3 linked regions of the Macaca mulatta genome follow. The protein of the gene in region 2 interacts with the protein of the main gene of each other region in a biochemical or structural test. Links are inferred from orthologs where the notes say so. Each region holds a gene or a part of one and is shown on either strand. Other genes may lie near its edges.

Region 1 (4,300 bases), on a different chromosome or scaffold from region 2:
GGCCCAGTGCTGGACAGTGAGCTCAGTCAGGGTGGCTGGGGGCAATGGCCTGGTGGTCTGAGATAGCAGAGGCTGGATCAGCTGGGGGTGTAAGGAGAAGGAGGTCTCCTGGATCGCATGCCAATGGCAAGGAGAAGCTACTGAAGGATTCCATACAGAGGACTGATATAGTCCTATTTACCCATTTAAACACACACACACACACACACACACACACACACACAAACACACACGCTGCTATATAGAGAATGGAAGGAGGGGGAACTGTAATCCTACAGTAAAGAGATGCTGGTACCCGGGACAAGGGGTGGGGGACATAAGAAAAAAGGGGACAGACCAGGACACATTTTAGACGTAGATCCACAGACTGAATGTTTTTGATCTGAGCATCTGAGTTGATTGTGAGGTCACTCCCTGAGACATTGACATTTGGGAGAAGGAAAAGTTTGGCTGACAGCAAAACCTCCTTTAGGAACAAATTAGGTGTGAGGTTAGTTTGTTATACTATTTTCTCTTTCAGGACATAGGCACAGATGAAGAAAATCAAATCATAAAAGACATTTAACTTAACATTTTCCAAAATTGTGCATGTTCTAGCTGTCCCTTTAATGTCTGGGCATTTTGATACCCTGCGAGTGAGTGGCAAACTCTAAAATTAGTGTACATGGTGAGAGGTTTGCTAAAAGCTATATGCCCCTGTTTCTCTACCTGTTGCAGGGGATGTGTTTGTGGGAGAAAAATTTCGTGGCCTCAAACTGTGAAGGGGTAGGTTGAAATGGCCACAGGGGTCTTTATATTCTCCACCATCGGCTCCCGGCTGACCCCGGCCTTACTAGGCTTCCTCGCCTGCGTCCCTGCCTGCCGGGAAGGTCCTGCGTAGGTTGCAGAGACCATGGCAGACATAGCAGTTGTACCAGCCAGAGACACCTGGGCAAGAAGCATAACCCAGACATTGAGGAGGGTGAAGCCTCGCTGGGCCACCCCGCAACACCAGGAAGCCCTGGAGCAGTGAGAGACTCCTGGGCTGTCTCTTGTCAACACCCTGGCACAGGCACAACCGCGCGCTCACTCTCCGCCCGCTCCCCGTTAAAGGACGGGGTTTTCTCCAAAGGGAGAGGAAATATATGGACGCCCTGGTGTATTTGCCTGCTTGTGTTTCTTGCCTCTGCTTCCCAGCGTTCCCGACCCTGTCCCATACGGGGTTTCGGGGTTCCCCGCTCGGGCCCGCACACCCCCCTACCACAGGTTGGCTGGGCTACGGGCGTGGCGGGAGGCAGCCGGGACGTGAGACTGGGGGTCACCCCACACGCCCTCCGCGCCCCTCGGGCTGCGGCCCCTGCGCAAGGGCCACCCATGTCCGACCATGCGGCCGCCTGGAGCGCAGGCCCGCGGCAGGCAGAGGCCAGGGCTCCCCGCGGACGCGGGCGCGGGCTCCGGATTCCCGGGCCGGCCGCAGGAGGCAACCAGGTCCCTGGGGGGCGCGGAGAGGAACAGCACTTACCTGCGGCGGCGGCGGGGCCCGGGTACGGACGCTCCGGGACGCGGGGCTGGGCGGACACTGGCGGGCCGGGGCCTGGCCGTCCCACAGCCGTCTGCCCCCCGCGCCTCGGGCCGCGCGCCGGGGCCGGGCCCAGACGCACTTCCTCAATCCTGAGGCCGGCGGGCGGGCGGGGAGGGCGAGTGGCGCGAAGAGCTCGCAGAGCAAGGCCGCCGCCAGCTCTCGCCGGAATGGTTTCGAGGCGTCCCCTCGGTGGCCGCCTCAGTTTCCCTAGCCGTAAAACGCGGGCGATCGCGCTCAACCCCAGTGCCCCGGGAGACGCCGGGGTCCGCGGGCCATTCTAGTACCAGGTCTCTCCCTCAGGTTCGGGCACTCGGCTCCCTCCACGCGGGGCAAGCGCGGCGATGAGATTGGTCGGTGCTGCGCTCAGCCCCGCTTTCACTATCCCTCTGCTCTAGTGGCAGCAAAATCAGCAGATCAGCCCCTAACTTGCATGTGGCCCATACACTCCGTCCGTAAAAATTAAAAAGACAGGGAATATTCATTTGTGTACAGTTCTTTCCAGGGCAATACAGAAATATGTAGTTCTAAAGCGTTAACGATTTGCAGTTTGCACATCCTCCATCATATGGATTTTACTAATTCAATAATGGATGTATGCAAAGTATTTGCTGTTTGGTGAATCATGTTTAATTGTCGGCTTTGGGGGGAATACATAAAACATGGAATATTGGTAATTTATCGTGTTTCAACCTTTCATAAAGGTGTCATCAGGCTGCTGAGGCTAATATAGAAACGCAGACCATAAAGATCCGCGTCCACTCTGCAGGAGGGCCTCACACTGAGCTCCACGTGTCGACCCAGGGAAAAGGCCTGCTCAGGAAAAGCAGAGGGTTCCACGCCCTGCAGGACCAGCACCCTAGGCTCCTCTTCTGAAGTGTTATGACTCGCATATTCCCAGGATTTCGCGCAGATCTCCCCCACCCTCACTGACATTTCACAGAACCCGGGCAGCTACAGGGCTCTTACAGGACCTCCCGGACACCGCGGGACCGTGTTTCCTTGAGCGGCTTCTTGGGTCCCTGGTTGGCGAGGGGACCACCGAGCAGGTCTGCTCTGCTCCTGGGAGGCTGCTCCTGCCACTGGACGAGTTTCCAAAAAGGTAAGCGCAGTTCTGCAATCCTGTTCTCACCCCTGAGGGCCTCACACCAGTTTACAGGAGCCAGCAGTGTGATTGCTACAGATAAGTTCCCAACAGTTTGCAGGGCGTGGTGTCCTCAGTGCTGAGAGAGCCCCGCGACTGAGGCGCAGCTCCTCCAGGGCGCGCAGCCCCGCCACCTGGCGCCACCGCGAGGGAGCGCAGGCCCAGGGCCCGGGCAGCCGCTGGAGGGGACGCCGCCCAGTAAGGCGGGGCACCTCCGCTTCCCTTCTAAATGAGCTTGGGAATAGGCTAGGAAATGTCCCCAATGTAGAAAACAGCAGGAACATTTGACACGCGGATGACCTGTGTTGAGCCCGTTATATTCCCAGCATTTAATTCTAGCCATTAGGCATGTGTTAGCCACAACTTCTCATAGGAAGGCTATTGCAGATAAGTTAAGATTCCTTTCCACTTCTTCCTAAGGCTCGCTGACCCACGGTTCTCTAGCTTTTGTTGGTAATCCCACCCGGATTCTCAGCACCCTAGGTTGGAATGACCCCTCCTGAGGTGGGTGAGGTCAGCTGGAAGCCACCTCCCTGAACTGACTTTTCTCTCTTTTTGAAGGCACAGTGGCTGAGAGCTCCTTCTGTGTTTTCTGGTTGTTTTTCTTCAGCCCAGTTCGCAGTTTCCTCTGACAGTCTTCCTTGAACAACTTCCTAAACGCCCTTCATGAACCCCCTTCAAGCTCATGCCTAGGAGCAAGGAGCAAATCTTCATCCACCAGCAGAAGAAGCTAGGCCATCCCAAAGGGTCCACTTCTAGAGAGTGTGCCAACCCCCACACGCACACCAGGCACACAAATGCATGTGTGCACACGCACACTACACCCTCCAATTGTCCCCAGAATGGCTCCCTTCAGGGAGTCACATTCCGGGACACCAAATGAGGGAAAATATCCTTCTCCTATAGTTTTCTGCTCGCATTTGGATTGAGAAATGGGATGTCTCTAAATAATGTGTCTAAATTCTCTTAACATAAGTGTGTATCTTACGAGAGATCTGATCCCAGCCTCCCTTAAGTTTTTTGTTAAAGAGGTGGTGCTTTGCCACCCACATCAAAGTGATCTGGGCTTTCTACATCAAATGCACAGGTTGAGCTTCAAGAACATACCCCAGTACCACCAATGATCTTGATCCAGTGTCAGTGTCAGCTCCCAACGTGGTGATTGAGGCTTCTTGGTTAGAAGCTTTAGAAACTTGAGGTCAGTGAAACCCAAATTGATCCTTTCTCTAGATCCTCAGAGGAAAAGGTGACAAAAACAGACACTTGTGCTCACAGTCAGGGGCACAATGCTGTCTGTCAATCCTCATGCGGTCCTCCCCACCATTTCCCGCACTGACATCATTACCACTTAATGATAAACGGAGACTCAGGCAGCTTAGATGACAGCTGAAACTCAGCCAGATATGATGTGGAACCTCTGAGGCCCAGCTCCTTGCTTGGTCAACCCGAGCCCACAGAAATGGGTTTCAGAGTCAGGCAAAGCACTGGGCCCAATTGACAGAGTAAATGTAATTTTATGCTTACATTATTGATCCTGCTTTAATATCAGCCATTTTGTACAGGTCTCAGAAAGAGAAAGGCCTGCCATAGAATTCAAA
Region 2 (3,500 bases):
CTGAATGCCTGGAACCTCACAGGGATCCCTGAGGCCAGGCCAGTGGCTGCTGTCCCTGCTCATGGCTGCCCACCGTGGCTCTCCCCAGGGACAGCCCTGGGAGAGGGAAGACTAGAGATGCGAGGGCCCACAGCGGCCCCCAGCCCATCCAGGGCCTGCCCTGAGGAGCTCACTCACACATTACTAGATAGAGGGGTGTACAGGTGCCAGGCTAGGTTAGAAAAGGCCTCCCAGGAGGCGCCACTTGGGATGAGACCTGAAGGATAAGGGCAGGGGGGTGAGAGGCAGGTATCAGGATCGTTACAAGCTTAAGGCTGGACAGAGCAATATTGCTGGAGCAAAACATGTTGACCACGGCTGGAGCAGAAGGAGAGAAGAGAGAGGCAGCAAGGTGGGAGGCACAGGCCAGGCAGAGCTGAGAGGGCTGTGGGCAGGCAAAGGCCTAGCCTTGGGCCCATCTGTGAAGACACCTGGGTCATCTCCTCACTGACAAGTTCAGAAAGCAAAGGTAACAGCCGAAGCCCTCCATGAAACACTGGACCAACTCAAGGCCCAGGTATCCTGCCTCCTGGGTCCAGCACACCTGCGGGCACAGCCGGTCAAAGGATGCAACTGGGAGCCAGGCCTGGTGTCTGGGGAATTTGCCATGCCTGCCACTGAGTTGATGGATGAGGCCAGTGGTGCAAGCCCGTGTGACTGGCAGCTGCAGGGTGGCTGGCAGACCCACCATGGCACTGTCCCAGGGGTCCAGCCTGAGCACCTCATTTTGCCTTGCAGCTTCTCAGCCCCAAGGCCTCTGCCCATGGCCATGCCTCATCAAGGGAGCCTGACCTCACTCATCTGCTGGGATGTCCCCTCTGCCCAGAACCACACATGGGGCTGAACTGGGGGCAACCATAGGGTAAGGGGCAGAACCCTGGAGAGCACACAGATACACACTGGGAGCAGGGTGGATGCAGCCGCCTGTGTACACACCTGCCTGCCCATCCATCATTCGTTTCCCCCAGGCATGCCATCAACACGTAGGCACAGTTCCAGGGAGAGCCCTGAAGCGAGGAGTGGAGGGAGGCAAGCCTGCCTCCCCAGCTGCCTGATGAAAGCCGAAGATCCTCTCTCAGAACACTCAGGCTCCTAGCACCATGGCTACAGCCTGGAGCTGTCCAGTTTCCCTGGCTGGGGCACAGGGCCAAAGCTAGAACCATTGTTGCTCTCGGCTGAACCCAAAGAATAAAGCTTGCCTTAGGACTGGGTGAAGCAAGGAGTGACCTCAGAGGCCAGTGCTCCCAAGTGGGAGGCTGGGCCCTTGTCTCCCAGTATCACCCTCCGCTAGCCCCAGGGCACCCACAACTTCATGACTCCTTGTTTGCCCCCACTATCCCATCCCCAGGGTCAAAGGCCTCTCTCTTAAGGAGAGACTTGAAATCTGTGCTCAGGGCGTCCTGCTGGGCAAGACAGCCCCTCCCTTGTCTGCCACAGCCTCTACCACTGCCACTCCTGGCTGTGGCCCCCTTCGTGTGCTAGACCTTCTGTATTGGCTGGGCCTGAGCACACTGCTCCACTGCTTCACCTGGCTCCCCACTCTCTCCAGCAACTCCACTCTCAAGCCCCCAGTGCTTGGCACTGGGCCCAGGTCTCCCTCGGGCTGTGCCCATGCCACTGTGAAAGAATCCCAACACCTGCTTTCACGTCGTCCCCTTTCCACCAGGACCTGGCTTATCCCTTCTAAAGAGCTCTTAACCCCATCTCTGCCAGACTCTCAGGCTCAAGATGGGGTTGCAGGGCTGGCTGCTGTTCCTGGACCTACATGCTGGTAGGAGACTGGTGCTGGCAGGAGCTTCATGGATTTGCCAAACTATCACACGGACTGACCACGGATGCCCGGCGGAGCCTCACACTCTCTTGCCCTGTGGCCTCCACACCCTGAGTACTTCAGGCATGGGACATGACACCTGCACTCCACACCCTGCTCCCTCTGCCCCCACCTTGCTGGAGCCGCCTCATTTATCGTGCAGCAGGGCCAGGCCTGCGCCTGGTTCCCTTTCTGGCTGCGGACTGTCCTGGACCTCGCGAGTCCTCTTGCTTCCAAGAACCCGTGACAGCAGGAACAAGCAGAGGAAAACCCCCGGCCCCACTTACTGTCTGGTTATCCTCGTAGAGTTTCAGGTCGTAGCCGCTGAGCTCCACACAGAAGATGATGGCTGTGACGCCCTCGAAGCAGTGGATCCACTTTTTGCGCTCTGACCTCTGCCCCCCCACGTCCACCATCTTGAAGGTGAGCTCCTTGAAGGTGAACTTGTTCTCCACGATGCCCGTGGTCATGTCCCGGGAGCGCAGGATGTCCTCGACAGTAGGGATGTAGTCAGCTGCGGCAATGCGCTCCAGGTCGTTCAGGTAGTAGGCCGCGTTGTCCTCCAGGTGATACTCGCTGGAGCGGCTGAAGCAGGCCTGTGCCCCTGGGTCGGCCCAGAGCCGCCGCATGACGCCCAGCAGCTCGGGTGTGATCTCGCCCTTGCTCTCAGCGGGGCCTGTCAGCGCGAAGAGCTGCACAGCGTCGTAGGCGCGGTCGGGGTTGTGGAAATCGATCCTGAGGGCGGCCAGGGCCCGGATGATGCGGGTCAGCGAGTCGATGGCGTTGTAGATGATGAGGGGCTTGTACTCCTTGCAGGCCTCCAGGTTGAAGCCGCCGCTGTGGATGATCTTCATCTGTTTGACGATGGTGCTCTTGCCTGAGTTGCTGGTGCCCAGCAGGAGCAGCTTGATCTCGCGGCGCTGCCGTTGGCTCTCTGAGCGCAGGTGGCGGTCAATTCTCCGGGACCGCCGGGCTGCTTCTTTTTCCTCTGAGCTTTGCCGACATCCCATGGTCTGGCAGCAGCGGGCCCAGACAAGGAGCACGGGACGGGGCGCCTCTCCCTCTTACCACAGGGGACGCTGAGACCAGGCAGACGAGAGCCCAGCTGCCCTGGAGGCACTCAGTGCCAGCAGGGGGGTGAGGCCGAGCCACACTGCAGCCCCTGCCCCAGTGCCTCTTCTCCAGCCGGCATGGCGCTCTGTGCAGCGGGCGGCGGCCGCCCCTCCCCACTAGTGACACTCCACCTCCCTAGTCAGCAAAGTGGCCTGATTTGCCGTAGTCATTCCCTGTCCTCAGCGACGGTGGGAAGCCGTCCGCTTGTGTCTGCCTCGGCTGCTGCCGTCTGGTTGCTGGTTGCTGTGGCGATGTTGCTGAGTGGTTGGAGGGTTGGAGGGCTGGTCACTGCTGTGCTCCCTGCAGCCCCCCGCCTCCGGCTCCCACTGTGCATCCAGCCCTTCACCTGCCAAACACAGAGAAGAGTGTGAGCCTCCTCCCTGTGGCCCCACCTCAGGCTGGACAGTGAAAGGGAGCTCTTCTGAAAGCCGAGCAGCAGAGACTGGCCTCGGAAAATGAGCCGGCAACAATCCATCCGACCCCCTCTCCTCCATGGGGCACTGCAGGGTCCACACCACGGTGTAACACGTGTGTCTGC
Region 3 (3,844 bases), on a different chromosome or scaffold from region 2:
TCTCGAACTCCTGACCTCAGGTGATCCATCTGCTTCGGCCTCCCAAAGTGCTGGGATTACAGAAGTGAGCCACTGTGCCAGGCCTGACCTCCTACATTTTAGATCTGAAGTAACTGAAACTCTGACAGGTGGAAACTTGCCCAATCTCATTCAACTGATAATTTCTTGAATGTGAAAAGGCCAGCCTGGGGAAAACCTTTTCCGCATCAGTATCACATCTGTGATGCTGCTGCCCTGTAACATCAAGATACCTAAAGACAATATTTTTCTCAGAATAACAAGATAATTTTATTTAAAGGAACTTCTTAGGGTGTAATGTTTGTAAACAGTGTTCACCATCAAATGCAGACTCCAGGGGATACTTTTTCCAGAAAAATGCACAAAAGTTTTCACAGATTTCAGAGGACACTTGCAGCCCCTCTGCAGGTCCACAGTCAAAGGGATCTGAATGCTGTGAATGAGGGTGCAGCTGTTTGGTCATGTTCAGCTTGACCCAGAACAGCAACTGCAAAATGTAGAAAACAGCTGCACCCGCATTCACGGTATGCAGATCCCTTTGACTGTGGACCTGCAGAAGGGCTCCAAGTGTCCTCTGAAATCTGTGAAAACTTTTGTGCATTTTTCTGGAAAAAGTTAAAAGTAATGGCGAGGCCAGGCACAGTGGCTTATGCCTGTAATCCCAGCACTTTGGGAGGCCAAGGTGGGTGGATCATGAGGTCAAGAGATCAAGACCATTCTGGCCAACATGGTGAAACCCTGTCTCTACTAAAAATACAAAAATTAGCCAGGCGTGGTGGTGCGTACCTATAATCCAACTACTCTGGAGGCTGAGGCAGAAGAATCACTTGAACCCGGGAGGCAGAGGTTGCACTGAGCCAAGGTCGTAGCATTGCACTCCAGCCTGGGCGACAGAGTGAGACTCTGTCTCAAAAAAGAAAAAAAGAAAAAAAAGATGATTACTTTTGTTTAGTTTTTTGAGATGGAGTTTCGCTCTTGTCACCCAGGCTGGAGTGCAGTGGCGCAATCTCAGCTCATTGCAACCTCTGCCTCCTAGGTTCAAGTGATTCTCCTGCCTCAGCCTCCCAAGCAGCTGGGATTACAGGCACCCGTGACCACACCAGGCTAATTTTTGTATTTTTGGTAGAGACGGGGTTTCACCATGTTGGTCAGGCTGGTCTCCAACTCCTGACCTCAGGTGATCTGCCCGCCTCAGCCTCCCAAAGTGCTGGGATTACAGGCGTGACCCAACGTGCCCGGCCTGTGGCAGTTGCTTTTGCACCAAGTTAATACTTTTACCATCAGCCTTGGGAGAAGGCATTTCGTGGTCACATACCTCCTTAGGAGAAAGTATAGAAATGTAGTCTTCATAGATTATCCTTGCTTTCTCTTCAATAATGTTTTTATTAGCTTCCTTTTTCAGTTCCTCACAGGCCATCCAGAAGAGCATATTTTCTTCACTGAATTCTGTTCGGAGGAATTCACGGAATGCATTCCTTCCTGCTGGAGTGACCATTAATTTGTCGAATGACTGAGCCCAGGCATTGACTTCTTCCAGAGTAGGAGCAGGGCTTCGTGGAGACCAAAAGAGAAGGGGCATAGGGGAACTGTTAGTGGTAGTTAATTGGAATTTCATCATTAGAAATGTATCTTTTCCTCCTCCAAGAATGAGAAATATATGCATTTAGGCCCTTTTAGGAAGGAGAAGAGCTGTTCTCCTTTCTTCAAGCCTTTGGGAAAAACACATGAATATGATACTTTCACATTGTTTGCTGGATTGCATACCAAAAGGCTTGCAAACCAAGTTGCTATAATAACTGCTAAGAACATGCTTGTTTACAACTGGGCACATCTTGCAATATTTTTAAAACTATAAATGTAAAGAAAAATCCTACAACCATCTGACCCAAAACTTCCTAATCACCTGTGATGAGTTCTGTACTACAACAGAACTAAGTCAGGTTTGACAACATTAAACCTCTAGAACAACAGAGCAAGTGTGTGCTTAATGTATTTTAAAATTATGTAATATTTGAGAAAGAGAATATATGTAATATAAATGCAAGTTATAAATGCCACCGCTGTACTGTCCAAAGGTGACAACAAAATGAACACTTTTTTTTTTTTTTTTTTTTTGAGAGTCTCGCTTTGTTGCCAAGGCTGGAGTGCAGTGGGGTGATCACAGCTTACTGCAGCCTCGGCTTACTATGCTCATATGATTCTCTCTCCTTGGCCTCCCAAGTAGCAGGGACTACAGGCAGGTGCCACCATGCCCAGCTAATTTTTTGTATTCTTTGTGGAGTCAGGTCTTACTATGTTGCCTAGGCTGGTCTCAAACTCTTAGGCTTAAGCGATCCACCCACCTTGGCCTCCCAGAGTGCTGGGATTACAGGTGTGAGCCACTGCATCTGACTCACTTTTAAAAAAAAATTACAAACATTTAAAAAATATAATTGGGGGTGCAAGTGCATGGATACATTGTTACATGGATACACTGCACAGTGGTGAAGCCTGTGTTTTTAGCGTAGCCATCAATGGGATAGTGTGCATTGTAATCATCAGGTAATTTCTCATCCCTTACCTACCTCCCACCCTCCCATCCACCTTTCCGCGTCTCCAGTGTAAATGAACACTTATGAATGGGCTATTTTCCTTAAGAACCAGAACAGCACTGACAATGTTGCATTTATTTTGGTGCTACTTCTACTTGCTACTGTCTCCCAGCTTCGTCCCCTAGGGAACTGCTATACTTGACTTTGGGGTTACCCCTTTGAGTTAATTCTTACTTCTGTCATAATTGTATCGAGATCAGAAAACATAGCTTAATAACGATCCTTAATATCTCTTTTATTTTGTTTCCATAGTTTTAAATGTATGTATGTAACCCTGAAAAATGTAGTCTTTAGTTTTTATTTATTTATTTATTTTATTTTTTTAAGACAGAGTCTCTCTCTGTAGCCCAGGCTGGAGTGCAATGGCATGATCTCGACTCACTGCAACCTCCGCCTCCCAGGTTCAAGCGATTCTCCTGCCTCAGCCTCCCAAGGAGCTGGGATTACAGGTGCTCACTACCACACCCGGCTACTTTTTTGTATTTTTAGTAGAGATGCGATTTCACCATGTTGGCCAGGCTGGTCTGGAACTCCTGACCTCGGGTGATCCACCCACCTTGGCTTCCCAAAGTGCTGGGATTACAGGTGTGAGCCACTGGTAAGTATAATGCAAATATTCTGAAATCTGAAAAAATCTGAAATCTGAAACATTTCTAGTTCCAAGCATTTTGGATAAGGGATACTCAAACTGTATTTCAATCTCCTTGTTATATGGGTCTTTTTGGATACCTTCAGGTTCACTATTTATTTAGCTGTATCTAATCTTTTATTTCAATCATCAATTTTAAAACAATTTGAACAATAATATTTCATTTTTAAAACTTCTATTTTGTTTGTTTTCAAATCTTCCAGGTCATTTTTTTTAAGAAATGTGTTAACAGGCTGGGCACAGTGGCTCACGCTTGTAATCCTAGCACTTTGGGAGGCTGAGGCGGGCAGATCACCTGAGGTCAGGAGTTCAAGACCAGCCTGGCCAACATGGTGAAACCCCATCTCTACTAAAAATACAAAAATTAGCCAGGTGTGGTGGTGGGTACCTGTAATCCCAGCTGCTTGGGAGGCTGAGGCATGAGAATCACTTGAACCCGGGAGGCAGAGGTTGCAGTGAGTCAAGATCACACCACTGCACTCCAGCCTGGGCGACAGAGCTAGACTCCATCTCCAAAAAAAAAAAAAAAAAAAAGAAATGTGTTAACAGTGTTTACTCTCTTAGAGGTTAGATCACTTTCTTTACT

What was found.
Region 1: the proteins of GNAZ (region 2) and LRRK1 form a complex in vitro, tested with the Homo sapiens proteins (2 studies listed by BioGRID and IntAct, with this or other methods). The link is inferred for Macaca mulatta from reciprocal best matches to the Homo sapiens genes GNAZ and LRRK1.
Region 3: the proteins of GNAZ (region 2) and RGS20 form a complex in vitro, tested with the Homo sapiens proteins (2 studies listed by BioGRID, with this or other methods). The link is inferred for Macaca mulatta from reciprocal best matches to the Homo sapiens genes GNAZ and RGS20.

Annotation. Positions count from the first base shown.
Region 1 is NC_133412.1:91,285,305-91,289,604, reverse strand, and holds the start of LRRK1 (leucine-rich repeat serine/threonine-protein kinase 1), read right to left. Parts: upstream 2,801-4,300; 5' UTR 2,528-2,800; exon of another isoform or gene 2,263-2,527; intron 2,016-2,262; exon of another isoform or gene 1,502-2,015; intron 1,246-1,501; exon of another isoform or gene 1,089-1,245; intron 1-1,088.
Region 2 is NC_133415.1:29,499,576-29,503,075, forward strand, and holds part of GNAZ (guanine nucleotide-binding protein G(z) subunit alpha), read right to left. Parts: intron 3,309-3,500; 5' UTR 2,860-3,308; coding exon 2,137-2,859; intron 1-2,136. UniProt on the Homo sapiens protein: Guanine nucleotide-binding proteins (G proteins) are involved as modulators or transducers in various transmembrane signaling systems.
Region 3 is NC_133413.1:64,602,324-64,606,167, reverse strand, and holds part of RGS20 (regulator of G-protein signaling 20), read right to left. Parts: intron 1,569-3,844; coding exon 1,334-1,568; intron 1-1,333. UniProt on the Homo sapiens protein: Inhibits signal transduction by increasing the GTPase activity of G protein alpha subunits thereby driving them into their inactive GDP-bound form.